Linked DNA regions of Xenopus tropicalis. The protein of the gene in region 2 interacts with the protein of the main gene of each other region in a pairwise test. Links are inferred from orthologs where the notes say so. Each region holds a gene or a part of one and is shown on either strand. Other genes may lie near its edges.

Region 1 (3,657 bases), on a different chromosome or scaffold from region 2:
TGGGATGCACCGAATACACTATTTTGGGATTCAGCCGAAGCCTGATTCCTTAGTGAAAGATTCAGCTGAATACTGAACCAAATACGAATCCTAATTAGCATATGCAAAGGTGGCCACGGAAGGGTTAAAGATAAGCGTGTGCTGTTCTCCATGTTTGTGTGACAAAGTCACGTGACTTTAAGGATTTGGCAGAATCAGAATCCTGCTGAAAAAGGCTGAATCCAGAACCAAATCCTGGGTTTGGTGCATCCCTATAGCAGACCACACTATAAGTAGTAGCAACAAACTGCATCTGCTAGTAGTTTATTCCAGTCTGAAGCACTCTTGTATTGTACAGGCAAATAGTTGATTTGTACACATAGCAATGCAGGACTCCTAAAATTCCAAAGCACCATGTGTATTTTAATTGAATCAACCTAATTCAGATTTATAACCAATAAGTGCACACTAAACAGGTATTGCCTGGTTAAAAACATAATGGATTTAAAAAAAAAAAACTTCCGACTGATGTATTTCTTAAAAAGGGAGAGAAGTCCAAGAAATAAAACCAAATCACCTCGTTCATCAGGTCCTCCTTTCTTGAATCCAAAGCCACCTTTATCTTGTTTTCTGCCTTCCGCTATGTCTACCCGAATAGCCCGGTCAATAAAAATCTGTTGAAAGGGGGAAATACAGTTGAAAACTGGACCAATTTTACAGGCAAGTTTATCTTTTGGTGTAAAATGGATGTCTGGATAAGGACTGGCATACAAACACAAATGAAAGCGCAAAACAAACTTACTGCACCATCGTACGTCAAGGCTTCTTTAAGCGAGTCAAGATCATCAAATTCTACATAACAAAATCCTGTAAGAAAATTTCAGGTTTAATAACTGTGACAAGAAACAAAATGCAGCAATTAGCAGCATATTAAGATAGTAGAAGTATGAGATCTGTTATCTGGAAACGCGTTATCCATAAAGCTCCAAGTTAGGGAAAGGCCATCTTCTATAGACTAAATTTGCATCAAATTCAATTTTTTATAAAATTATTGTTTTGCTCTGTAAATATACATATAAAATCTTGTACTTGACCCAGACTAAGATATAATGAATCCTTATTGGAGGCAAAACAAGCCTACTGGGTTAAATTAACGTTTAAATGATTTTTTGGTAGACAGGGTATAAATTATAAAAAGGTATAAATTATAATAAATCCAAATTATAGAAAGGAAAAAAAAAAGCTAAGTCACTGGGGGGCGCCAAAATGACTTACCTTACACCCCAGGCTGGTGCTCCTGTGAGAAGAAAAGAGCACCATCCTGGGGTACATGTGAGCAAGTGTCTCCTTTTCCTTCTTCAGTCTTTGCGCGTTTGTGCAGTAGAGCGAAAAGCCGAACTTTAACAAAGTTGGCTTTTTCACTTTACTGCGCATGCGCAGGCCACAGGATTTAGAAGGAAGAGAAAACACTCACTGCAGGTACCCTGGGTTGGTGCGGTTTTCTCCTACCACAAGCACCAGCCCGGGGTAAAAGGTAAGCAATTGAAGTCACTGGGGGGTGCCAAACATTTGGCTACCGCCAATGATTTTTACCTTTTCTTCTCCTTTAATCCTTAAAGCCCCAGGTCCCAAGCATTCTGGGTAATAGATCTCATACCTGTATCTCAGAAACTACTACCAAGACAAAAAAAAAAAAAAAAAAAAAAAAAAGCCCAAGGGACATAAGTTTGCATTGGGTCATTTTTTTAGATCCCTTTGCCTTATCCAAGGTTTTGATGTTTTGGGTTAGCGCTCCCTTTACAACACAACATTTTTGTTCTCTTCCAGGATTTCAAAGCATATTTATAAGTAAACTAGAGCTCTTTTTTCACATTTTGATTAATAAGCCTCCAAAAATCCCAGAAGGCAAGGGTGACATTTTGGACTGGACCAATGTAGCTGCCTCTTTAGGTCTCCCTAGTGGTCTAGCCCTATTACTTTGGACTAACATAAGAACTCTTACTAAGGCAAAACAAAATAAAACTGACTTTTTACACCAATACAAACATGACCAGGGGTACATATACAAGCACCAGTAGAGTAAAGCCAGTTCTGCTCCCAACCACCCTCTGCGTGCGTACTGACAGTGAGTGAGCTGTGACAGAAGCGTTCTGACCACTACTATATTGCACTAAACACAGGCTTAATGTTAATAGCAATAATATATAAATTTTTAGCCAGTGGAGAAGCTCCAAAATCCATTAGCAGGTAGCATAGCTGGATACAAGTGCTTCTCCACCACACAATGTGCCATAAGCCTTATACAGAATATGCAGCACAAGGAAAATATGCTGACAAAAAAATGAAGATAACAATTACACAACACAGTAACTTGTTTCCAACCTTTGAACTTGTCGGTCTCCTTGTCTCGAACTAGCCGCACACTCCGTATACTTAGATCTTTAAATATGTTATCTATGTCTCCTTGTACAACATGGAATGGAAGATTTCCAACATATGCTGTAAATGGAGGTTCCGTGGGCAGCTCTTTCTGTTTGCGAGATCCAGGCCCAGATTCTCCACGTCTTGGTCTGTTTAAAGACAACATTTATTAGCATTTCATCCAAAAACTAAGCCATCTAACAAAATCCACATTACAGACATAAACATAAGCACTCTATAAAAAAATAAAAAAATTTAAGCATTAGAGGTCACTATACCCTAAGTATTCCTGACGAATAAATCACAAAACATACTGTGTAAGAGAGTGTGTGCAGTTTGAGAGAACACCAGCAGTTATTCCTGATATGTAACCATTTAATTCATGCCATGTTTGGTTAGCCATGCCCCTTATCAATGTCTAGCTTTCCATAACAAGATAAGAACACAAAATGGAGGCAATCGAGGAGTAATAAGAAAAGCCGAGGTTAGTCAGAAATAAAAGGTATTATCCCGAAAGTCTTTCAAATGATACTGACACAATCCTATGAAAACCTAAAAATCATGTCAGTACTGAGGATAAAAAAAAAAAGTATCATCTAATTTTGTACAGAAGTAGCCCCACTCCATTAGTACATATTGTAGACGATCTGCACCAAAGCCCCTAAGGGCCATGACAGACGGGAGATTAGTCGTCCGCGACAAATCTCCACTGTCGTGGGCGACTAATCTCCCCGAAATGCCATCCCACCGTCGAGAATGTAAATCGTCGGTGGGATTGCATACACGGTGCCAAAATCACAGAAGTTTCCTCTCAAGGCAACTTCGGCGATCGCGGTGCCGCGTATATCATCCCATTGGCGATTTACATTCTCGCCGGTGGGATGCCATATTGGGGAGATTAGTCGCCCACGACAAGGGAGATTTGTTGCGGGTGACTAATCTCCCTGTGTGCCACAGCCCTAAAGCCCAGTAAAAAAAAAAAAAAAGCCAAACACACAGCGTTGCTTTAACAATTCTCGACAAGTAATGAGAGAAACTTTTTTCACCAGGTTTCAAGTCATCCATCCGAATTTCAGCGAAACATGACAGATTCCCTCATCGCTGCTCTCCACATCATGATGACTAAAGGTCCCCATAAAAAAAAAAAAAAACATTTAAACATAATCCAACAGGATTGTTTTTGCCTCCAATATGGATTCATGCGGCTTATCAAAGCACCAGGCACGGTTTTATAACTACAGTTATAAAAATCTGCCT
Region 2 (3,757 bases):
TGCTTAAATAAAATTTGCCCTTACCAGGGCCAGCTTATCAGAGTTTTTTTCTGGATCGCTAGCATATTTGCATTGATCCGTTCATTTTAAATGAGTCTATGGTTGACTTACAAATCGCAAAAAAAATAAAATAGCTTGAATCCTGAAAAAACACTTCCCATTACTTCTAGCCAAGCTCAACAGGGTTTTATCAGGCAAATTTTTTCAAGCGATTTTTTAAAAATGTATCTCAAAATGCATATAATAAGATAATTAAGATCAAGTGTATCAGCATTTTATCACATTGAGGCAAAACAAATATCTTAAATTTTAATAAATTTGTCCTTATGCTGGGAATAAGGGAATGGGAAAGAAATGACTGCAGCCTGGCATGTGTGCAATTAGATCTAGGCATGCAAATGCAAGCAGGAAATGTGAGAGATGGTTGTCTGCTCTTTGTGCTCACTGCTCCATTCCAGCAGCTGCCTATCTGCGTGGCTGCATTTATTAACCAGAAAGACAACAATGCAATTCTAACTTCCCCAGACCAGTGAGGTTTCTTCCCAGCACCAGCCTAAAGGTGGCCATACACGAGCAGATCCGCTCGCTTGGCGATGTCGCCAAGCGAGCGGATCTTCCCCCAATATCCCCACCTACGGGTGGGCGATATCGGGGACCATTTAGGTAAAAAAAATAATAATCCGATCGTTTGGCCCTGGGGCCAGACGATCGGATTATGTGAGCGGCAATGGGGCAGTCGGATCGGGGACCGCATCAACGAGCATTAACGTGTTTGAAAATAATTAAAACATGATAATTTGTTGTCCTGTACTAATAAAAGTGATATCTAGTATAAGTAAATCTAAAGCAACTGGACTTGCTAAGTAATCATTGAAGACAGCTGCTCGGATGAGTATTGAAACGTCTTCAATGATTACTTAGCAAGTCAAGTTGCTTTAGATTTATTTATACAGGTATGGGATCCCTTATCTGGAAACTTATTATACAGAAAGTTCCAAATTAATGAAAGGCCATCTGCCATAGACTCCATTACAAACAAATAATTCCAATTTTTGAAAATTATGGAGATCCAAATTACAGAAAGATCCCTTATCCGGAAAATCCCAGGTCTTGAGCATTCTGGATAACAGGTCCCATGCCTGATATACCATGACCTGGATGAATGAAAATCTTCATAGTCATATAGTAAAACTGATGTGTTTGCTTCAGAAATGTTATTATTGTGTATATAAACACACTGCTGTGTAGCAATGGGTAGCCATTAAAGATGGGAAGGAGTAATGCACAGGTTTACAAATAACAAATTAGCTCTGTAAATACAAGTGTATTCTGTTACACTTTCATTTTTTGGTATTGTTGTTCTTTTAACTTTGTATGAATGTATTATATCACTATGTATTTTATATATATATATATATATATATATATTTATTCATGTATATACACACAGAGAATACATACTTTGATCATTTATGTAGTAGGTACATTTTAATATTTACATTTATTTTAGTTATTCTGTGGATCTCCACGAACACATATGTATGAATGTGTCTGGATTTGAAGAGAATGAGAGAAAGAATAGCTTGTAATATATATATATATATATATATATATATATTATTTCTTTCTCTCATTCTCTTCAAATCCAGACACATTCATACATATGTGTTCGTGGAGATCCACAGAATGATTAAAATAAATGTAAATATTAAAATGTACCTACTACATAAATGATCAAAGTATGTATTCTCTGTGTGTATATACATGAAAATATGAAACCATTTTCAAGAACTCCTAGAAAGCTACAGAGTACACCTAGAGGAAAAGAAGGCGATGACCAGGAAAACAGGTAACCTAGCCTATTCCAATCACTGGAAATGTACTCATTCCTTACAAGATTAAGCGATTCGAAGTCGCGTCGCTGCAGCGTCCCACTTCCTGTACCAGGCCGCGTTGCCGCGGAAACAGTGACATGTTGGGTTGCTAGACAGGGAGGGTTTTGTTGCTTCCATTTTTTTCAAAAAACTTTATTAACTAGAGGAAGCCACTAACACTGAAGAAAAAATACAGTATACTGTACATTAGTGCGCGGCTGGCTTCAACCCAGCACCTCAGGGTCGGCCGTCCATGCACTTTACTTATATTGTGGCATGTGCATCATCCAAACCAAACAATACAGCAATATTTCCGAGTTCAGAGAAAAACAAAAATCGCATGGGTTTTGTTACAGCGGGAAAGTGTGCCGCTACAGAAGCATTTTGCAATGCGGCCAAGCTGACACAACTTTAGTTTATACACAACTCAATGAACTGCTCGCTACAAAAGCAACACTGAAGTGGCAGCGCTCGTCAATAAACTTTATTGTTCGCGAAGCAGCGCAGTGAGCACAGCGGGGCAGGGTGTGTTTCCTCCTCAATTCGCTCAACTTTAATGAACATCGCTGGGCGCGAACACTGCCAGTCTCCCGGCGCTGCTGCTTGTGGCTATTGCCGCTTCTCTGGAGGCCTCAGCTGAGTTCTGCTCCCCCGCCCTTTCCCTCGCTGAAGATGCCGAGCAAGAAAAAGAAATACAACGCTCGTTTTCCCCCGGTGAGTCGGCGGTCTCCTCTCGCACCGCTCTTTCCTGGTACAGGCTCCCCGAAAATCTCCCGCAAGGACCCCCCTCTGGTTCTGGATCCTTTGCGTTGCGCCGGATTTTGGCATCTTTTTTGCTCTGCCCAGCGCTATGGTTATGGGCAGTAGGAGCGTTGTGCAGAGTATTCAGCCTCATTGTAACAATAACACTGTATCCGCACACGCTGCAGCTTGTTATTGCTCACTAGTGCCTTTTGTACAGTCTATAAACATATATTGTTTACGTTCAATACACTGGTTCCTTAACGGAGTATCTGCCCCTCGACCAGGATGTTCGGTGCCTTGGCAGGGCCAACCCGCAGCCACCCGGGGACATAGCTGGGTAGAATGCCCAAGGTACTATTTAATTCCCTTCATGAAGGTCATTTAAAGCAAGTTTTGGGGTGAACACTGTTCTTATGGCTGTGACTGAATGGATAATACACAGAGTCTGTGATCTTGTTATGGGCTAAGGGGGTCCAAGCCAAATGGTGGGTCTTAAAGGTGAGAAGATAAGGGACCTGGGCAGTTTTTGGCTTTAATTAAGGTGGGGGTGGATCCTGGCCAAGTGGTGGGCCTTAGATGAGGGGGTCCTGGTTAAGTGTTGGGCCTTATTGGGGGGGGGGAGGTAAGGTCAAATGGTGGAAATTAAAGGGGAAGGGGGGCCCTGGTCAAATGATGGGGCTAAAGGGGGGGGGGGTCAATTAGTTGGCCCTATTGGGGGTGTCCTGGTAAAATGGTGGTGGGCCTTAAAAGGGGGGGGGGGGGGGCTGGTCAATTGGAAGACCACTGTTCTTATGTTTGACACGCATACACCTTGCTATCCTATTCATCCAGTGCACAAGTAGGCCTTCCTCATTACCTTAACATTAGTTGCTCTCAGTGCCCCCAAACCAGGGAGTTATTTTTGAATTCCTGACTTGGGGGCAAGTTTTGGTTGAATAAAAACAAGGTTTACTACCAAATAAAGCCCACTGTAAGCTGATAGGTTGCATAGAGGCCCCTAATAGCCAATCAAAGCCCTTATTTGGCTCCTCCATGAACTTTTATGGTGCTTGTGTTGCTCTCCAAGTCTTTTTACATTTGACTGTGGCTCATGAGTAAGAAAGGTTGGGGATCCCTGCCTTAACCAATACTTTCTTCTC

The links. The genes of interacting proteins can lie anywhere in the genome.
Region 1: the proteins of c11orf68 (region 2) and eif4h interact in binary tests that used the Homo sapiens proteins (3 or more experiments, as listed by UniProt). The two-hybrid records come from large-scale screens. The link is inferred for Xenopus tropicalis from reciprocal best matches to the Homo sapiens genes C11orf68 and EIF4H.

Annotation. Positions count from the first base shown.
Region 1 is NC_030678.2:100,958,868-100,962,524, forward strand, and holds part of eif4h (eukaryotic translation initiation factor 4H), read right to left. Parts: intron 2,550-3,657; coding exon 2,362-2,549; intron 847-2,361; coding exon 782-846; intron 654-781; coding exon 557-653; intron 1-556. UniProt on the Homo sapiens protein: Stimulates the RNA helicase activity of EIF4A in the translation initiation complex. Binds weakly mRNA.
Region 2 is NC_030680.2:38,500,012-38,503,768, forward strand, and holds the start of c11orf68 (UPF0696 protein C11orf68 homolog), read right to left. Parts: upstream 2,259-3,757; 5' UTR 1,895-2,258; intron 1-1,894. Other genes in the region: drap1 (dr1-associated corepressor), read left to right, coding at 2,547-2,588.